Linked DNA regions of Danio rerio. The main gene of each other region encodes a partner of the protein of the gene in region 2 in a complex. Links are inferred from orthologs where the notes say so. Each region holds a gene or a part of one and is shown on either strand. Other genes may lie near its edges.

What was found. The genes of interacting proteins can lie anywhere in the genome.
Region 1: the proteins of rbl1 (region 2) and ppp2r2ab are in contact, whole or in part, in a cryo-EM structure (PDB 9C6B), measured with the Homo sapiens proteins. The link is inferred for Danio rerio from reciprocal best matches to the Homo sapiens genes RBL1 and PPP2R2A. Residues at the interface, in NP_002886.2 of Homo sapiens: Ser615, Pro616, Leu617, Met618, His619, Pro620, Arg621, Val622, Val625, Arg626, Ser629, Leu632; in NP_002708.1 of Homo sapiens: Lys88, Tyr178, His179, Asp197, Leu198, Met222, Glu223, Glu224, Leu225, Thr226, Glu227, Val228, Ser247, Arg278, Ser279, Phe280, Phe281, Ser282, Glu283, Ile284, Ser287, Tyr337, Phe343.

Annotation. Positions count from the first base shown.
Region 1 is NC_133185.1:23,776,126-23,779,784, reverse strand, and holds part of ppp2r2ab (serine/threonine-protein phosphatase 2A 55 kDa regulatory subunit B alpha isoform), read right to left. Parts: intron 1,307-3,659; coding exon 1,027-1,306; 3' UTR 1-1,026. UniProt on the Homo sapiens protein: Substrate-recognition subunit of protein phosphatase 2A (PP2A) that plays a key role in cell cycle by controlling mitosis entry and exit. Involved in chromosome clustering during late mitosis by mediating dephosphorylation of MKI67.
Region 2 is NC_133181.1:54,202,593-54,206,251, forward strand, and holds part of rbl1 (retinoblastoma-like protein 1), read right to left. Parts: intron 2,892-3,659; coding exon 2,715-2,891; exon of another isoform or gene 2,561-2,714; intron 1,589-2,560; exon of another isoform or gene 1,226-1,588; coding exon 1,154-1,225; intron 1,011-1,153; coding exon 926-1,010; intron 1-925. UniProt on the Homo sapiens protein: Key regulator of entry into cell division. Directly involved in heterochromatin formation by maintaining overall chromatin structure and, in particular, that of constitutive heterochromatin by stabilizing histone methylation.

The sequences.
Region 1 (3,659 bases), on a different chromosome or scaffold from region 2:
TTCAAAGAAGAGGACACGACTCATTTATTTGTTTGTTCCGTTTATAAATACCATTTCGTTATCATAATCTCTATAATCTTTCTCAAACTGTAACTCTTGAGATAGAGAAGAGTGTTGACAGAAATCGGGCATGGGTCACAAAGGAAAATAAACCCTGTAAGGCTGAATGACTTGTACATGAGTGAGCAGTCCAACTGGGAGTGTATGTGCTTGAACATATGTAGAAGGTCAACTACTACAGCAAACATGGCAGTGCCGTCTGTGCCACAAAGAAAACCAACAAGAAAAAAAACTCTTTGGGCCAAAGCCATGGTGCATGGATATCTGAAACGAAACGTGGCTGAAACCATTTTGTAGCTGTATGGAGTGGAACGGGACAGTATGAAATGTATAGAGTAGTAAACTAAAAAGAAATAAATCTAAAAACGAAAAAAGAAGAGACACTTATTCTTGAAACAGAATTAAAATGAACTAAACAACTTGGCAGTTTCTCTGAAAAGAGTTTAAAAACGGTTACAATGGCACAAACAACATCGAGGATTAAAGGACACAGGGACACATCCATATGAGTTCAAATTAGTTTTTATACAGACACCTTGAAGAAACCGAAGCCAAAAAAATGAAAGAAAAAAAAAAACTAAAGAAAAAAAAAACTGGTTGAAATCTGTCAGAGCTTTGCTGCCCATTTCATCCCTGGGCTCGGACTGACTTGTGGGTAAAGGGGAAAAGGGATGGAGGGTACAGACACAGGTTGGCACAACATCACCAGTGCAAGGCGCATGTCATGGTGCCACAGAGGCCAAAGCCAGGTTGCGCTTCTTCTCCAGACCAGCTTGAACCAGTTATCTCAGTATTGGCAGCCGCTAGTTGGCTCAACTAGTTCATCCTGTCCTGGAGTAGGCCAAGGTTGGTTTATGTGATGACGGTGGTTGTCACAGAAATGATTCTTGCTAGTTCAACTTTTTTTTGTTGGTTTCACATAGAGCGAGAGAGGTTCGGAGGTTTTCTTTCCCCGTGATGACAGTATTAGTTCACTTTTTCCTGGAAGATGTAGAGGTTGTTGGTGGTTGCCACTGCGATGATGTTTTCCTGCGGGTGCCAGGCGGTGTGTAGGATCTTCTTGTTGAAGTCCAGGCTGTCCACGCTGATCTCGTCCTTCTTCCGCTTGCCTCCTGCGCAAACCCTGCGCGGCTTGAGGACCTGCCGGGGCTTGCAGCTCTCGCGCGAAGCCTCCAGGGTGACATCTCGCCGCTGGGTGCGGTCCAACATTCGGAAGAAGTTGTTGTATGATCCAGTCATCACCACGCTGAGACCAAAGAAGAAAACCGGAGAGACAATGCTATTAACAAACCTGCTCTGGCCAGTTAAAGGGATTGATCACCGCAAAACTACAATCCTGTCATCGCTTATAAATGCTCATGTCATTCTAAACTTGAAAGACTTTAAGATTAATCTTTGAAAAGGAAATGAAGGAGCTGTTACATACCAGTATTAACATGCATTTTCTCAAGCCAGAAACAATATTGGCATCTTGTGGCCGCATTTCATTGAGACCCTTCCCTGTTTTTTCAGAACACTCTACGTCTACATCACTTTTATAGGAGTGCTCAATGTGACTCAAGTATTACTAAACGACAAACCCATGTTTTGCAGCTTAGGGACAGGGAAAGTAAGTGAATGAATAGGATATGGATGGCAACAACTTCAAACTTAATCCATGTTTTGGTACAACACAGCGAAATATGCATGACCGACCAGCCAGGAACCGGAATTGGCCAATTTTTCACATGACCTGGCCTGATTTCAGCCAAGCTGTTCTGTTAGCGTTGGAAAGTGTTACTGCAGTGTTGTCAGAGACACCCGCGTTTACACTTACAGCTGCAAATGACAAATCTCTGCACAACTTTTTTCCACAGTGTATAAATGTGGGACTATTTTCATGATTTGCAGCCACAACCACCTTACAAACCTTGGCGTAACCAACTTTAATATAGCAATCAAATCACCTTCACTTAAATACACAATTCAGACTCAGAGTTACATTAAGACCAATTCATATTTCTGCATCGAGTCTGTGTGGCAGGGTCAAGTGTAGCAAATGTATTTTTTTTGTTAATGTGGTTAATTTTTTGGACTATACGTTTTTTAAAATGATTTTAATATTATAGTTATGCAAAAATTGGTATGAGCAGGTCACAGCACGCTTACCAAAAAGAAATTGGAATCGGTCAAGATATGTAGACCAAAGCACTGATGATGATGAAGACAGACAGACAGACAGACACACAAAAAAAAAAAACATACAGAAATAACCTGCTGTCCCATTTTACATGTAAACCAATAGTCCGGAAATATGAATATTAGTTTATTTCTTGGTAATGACACCAAAGCATAATTATTTGCATGTATGACAGAGTATATTATTTTTCATGTTTGATGTCATGCTGAATCAAAAAAGTGTTTTGTTACATTAAACATAATTGGTCAAGTGTTTTTAAGTGATAAAAACCTAAATTAAATCTGTTTATCTTAAAGTGATTAACTCTCTTTATAAGTGTTGGATTCAACCACTGGATTTCTGTTAATTTGCCTTTATGGCCCATTTTGATTATGATCTTTAGTTGTCTGGACTTTTAAAAGAGGGACAGAAATTTGGTCATATTACAGCATGCTAGTCAACATGAGGGTCAGTAGAGCATGACATTTTACTTTGTGGGTGAAGCAAACCTTTAACCTGCATAACTTCCCTGACAATGATTATAACGCGTATATATTTTTAATCATAAAAGGTCCATTATAATAACTTCCAGCAATACTTTTGTTTTTGTTTTTCTTCCAATTTGAGTATTTCAAAAAGTGCCCTACAAAAGGCTTGAAGTTTTAAGTAGGTAATTGGAAGACTCTTCAGTTCAGGGGACAGGATGTAGTTGACTATAGACTAATTGACAATTGAGACTAATTTAGTTGAAGACGAGTGTGTTCAATAGCACTGACGTGTCTTCATGACATTCTATCCCAATCTCCCTCTGACCTTGACCACCGTTCGGCCTGTCTTTGAGTGATTAGAGGCTCCTCAAGATAAGAGTCAGTCCGGGCCCCAATAGAGCGTCATGCAACAGGTCTAAATATTGAGCGCTACTTGACTAAATGTCAGCTAATTAAATCTCAGGAAGCATGTTCTTTAATAGGTTTTCATTTTGTTTTAGTCCTGTGTTCACATTACCATTTATCTTATTTCATGGGGTCTGCTGAATGCTCGATTCTAATTGACTGCTAATCGTTCTAAGGGGCCATGTACACAGAACACATCATTGGATCTTAAAATATACTGATATATATATATATATATATATATATATATATATATATATAAGTATATTTTTAAGTGATATATAATATATATATATATATAATATGTATATTATATATCACTTAAAAATATATTATATATCACTTAAAAATATACTGATATATATATATATATATATATATATATATATATATATATATATATATATATATATATAAGTATATTTTTAAGTGATATATAATATATTTTTAAGTGATAAAAACTTAAATAATAATTTTTTTTTTTTTTTTTTTTTTAATGCCCTCTGCCTATTGTCAAATCAAACAGTTTTCATGTCAACTTGCTACTG
Region 2 (3,659 bases):
ATTATTTAGGGATGCAATGACTATAGATGTTGGTTGTACAATTATAGTCTGAGGAATAATCACGGGTATCACGATTAATATGCGTTCATTGATTTTAAAACTTTTTAGAAAAATCAAATTTGTGATTTGTGAAAAGTGTTATCTATTGCTGCTCAGTAACCAGAGTAATACAGCACATAATAATAATAATAATAATAATAATAATAATACAAAAACAAACAATAGTCCATTTCTCTTTGGACTTAAAAATAAGTGAAAAGTAATAATTTATAATGAAAATAATTGACAGAACAATGAATAAAAAAATTAAAATAAGAATAAATTAAAACACTTGTATTTGTCTAATATAATTCTAAGCAACATATTAGCCAAGTATTTCCCTTTTAAAGAGAACAAATATAGTCAAAAACTGAACTGACAAGAGTTTCAATTTACTATAATCTTCTATGTGAAGCTGCTTTGATACAATCTACATTGTAAAAGCACTAGAAAAATAAAGATGAATTGAATAGTTAAAACATTATTTATTCCTTTGATGCAAATTAAGCATTCAGCCCTCACATAATCTTTCAGAAATTATTGTAATATGCTGAGTTTGGTGCTCAAGAAACACTTCTTGTTATTGGTGAAATTCAAGACAGCTGCGCAACTAAAATATTTGCGTGGAAATCATGAAAGATTTTCCTCATGATTCTTTGATGGACAAATAGCAATTTATGCAAATAATCTTTTTCATCATTATTCCAAGGTGACAGGAAGGACACTTTTATTAAATTTAACATGTCCTTACAACTAAAAAACATACCATCTAACATCTAAAAAACCCCATCTAACTGGCTCCAAATATTTGAATGCTAATGCACTATACTGTGAACTATTTATTTATTTTTTAAAAGACAGATGCGTTTGTCTGTATCGTCCTTACACTGGTCTGCTGGAGGATCGACTTCCATGTTCTCGTCAGCCTGCTGCACTTTGGGACGCCTCTTTATTAAAACACTGCGGTACACCTACAAACACACAAAACATGGTTGATGTGGGTATATCAAAGACTGAGTTGTGCTTCCTTTCAGCTAAAATTACAAGATTTTCGACACTTGTGTGCATTAAAGCATTTCTATGCCATTTAGAAAGACTAAGAGTTGATACTCACATGACTGTTGGCCTGTGGTTGTGTTCGGTAGCATTTCATAATGTCCTGAAAAGTGTGCTCTTCTTTCGTGATCTGCAAAAAAATGTCACAATTTAAATGATTTTTAATGTAAAATTGTAATTTATATACATTTTATTCATAAATTTTTTCATTTATCAAAGTGATGAATGTTTTTAATTAGAAACAATGCATTAATAAAATGTGTTATATAAAATATTGGCATTTAAAAAACACAAGACCAAAATAATAGACAGCAACATGGTTTTTAAAATTAAACCAATAAAGGTTTTCTTGAGCAACAAATAAGCATATTAAAACTATTCCTGAACAATAACATGATGCTGTAATTATGCCAAAAATGCAGTATTTTGTTTATAAATATTCATAACATTCCTTTAGATTTTTACTAATACATCATATTATATCATGTCATGTCTAGGGTTGTAACAATATACCGGTATGACGGTTTACCACGATTTGAACGTGCACGATTATCATACCATGAACAATTGCATATCAACGGTTTTAACCCTTAAAGACCGAGACAGCCGCCCGCGGCTAAAAATAAGCATTGCTCTTAAATGTTTAATAACTTTTGATCCGCTGATAACATTCACGGACTTTCAGAGGCTCCGGAATCAGTGCGGTTACGTCATCAACATTTGACAACGCTGATTTGACAAAGAAACGCTCGTCACTGTGTCTCCGGACAAATCAGACATGATACATTGATGCATTGTCCCTCCTCCATGCCCAGATTGGTTCAAACTCGCTATATCACAACCAATAAGCATAGGTTTCGCTTTTGTTTGTGGACCAAGCTTTTTGAACAACACGGAATGAGAGAAAGGCATACATTTATGCGCGGCTAAATAAAACGCAAAAAAAAAAAGTTTTGCATGAAATAATTCTCATACTAAGTACTTTTGCATGCACAGCAGCACAGAAACATGACAAAACAGTGACACAGCAAAGACAAACTGTTGCTCTTGCTGTTTTCAAAAGACGCAAATGAAGATGCAGCTGTTTGTCTGCATTGCATACAACCACATCCATATCCACGCTGGCACATAAAACCTAAGGATGTTCCATATTGAATCTAGTTTCGTTATGTAACTATTTATAGTATAGTAAATATTTATATCTATTTTTTACTAAGGATTTGCACCATGTTTATTTGGACTTTATTTGGACTTTGACACATTATTTATTATTTTCTTATTTTTATTTGTTCATTGTAAGTGGTGTTGTTTATAGTAACTAAAAATATATTATTTGGAAAAAGTCAAATTTGCTTCACTGTTCTATTATTTTGTAACATTTGTAACATACCGTATACCGTATACCGTGAAACCGTCAAACCGTGGTATTGTTTTAGAAGATTATCATACCGTGAAAAATTCATACCGTTACAACCCTTATTATCATAGCAACAACAATGGTTATTTTCATAGCAAAACCATTGAATTAATAAATAAACAATTAAACAGCAAGACATTACAATAAAACTTTCGACCAATGTTTAAAAATATTAATGTTTTACTGCATTTAAAATCTGTACCCTTGATATGATGTAAACAGCACAAAGCAGCAGCTGGTCCAGGTGTCTGTCCTTCATCAGGTCAGTGCAGTGCAGGAGAGAGTGCTCAAAACACGTCCAGATCTTCCCTCTTAGCTCTGAGGAGATATCCAGCTTCAGACACAGGTCTCGCAGACGCACACTGGCTAAATGATACACCTGAAAGGAGTAGCAACAGAACATATGCACTTGAAATAAGACAATAAGACCCATATTTAAATTAAGGCTCTGCTGGGGAATAAGATTTTTTTTTTGAAAACTGTTTTTCTCTATACTTGCATGATTAAGAATTGCTAATATATTTCTGTATATCAAATATATATTTGTATATAGCAAAAAAAATTTTCCTAACAACATGCACAGATGAATTGTTCACCACAAAACTAGCAATGTGAGCTAACTAACTCAATATGGTTAGTTTTGATTTCATGTGTACTTAAAAAACAAAACAAAAAACATTAAGAATAACAAAAAAAAAAAAAATTAAATAAATAAAAATTAAAAATGTAACTAATAAATAGGGCAGTACTGACACTTTCCTTAAGACCACAATCCTATAAAATTCCTTCATACTGGGGAAAGTGGTCGAGAAGTAATGTTTTAATTTAATTGTGGTGCTTTTATTTATATGTATCCAGAATCCCCCCTCAAGAGATTTTCGATCGTTGATATGTTCCCCATAACAAATCTTTATATGGCAGGACCTGATCAAAAATATTAGCCGTGTATCCATAGTATCATCAGAAAACAAATTCACATTAAAACCACAAAAAAACACAAAACCAACCAAAACAAAACAAACCACAACACAAAACAAAACCACAAAACAAAAAACACAACATAAACCGAACCACAACACACAAACCAAAACACAAAACAAAACAAACAAAAAAAACCACAGACAACAACACAACAAACCAAACCCAC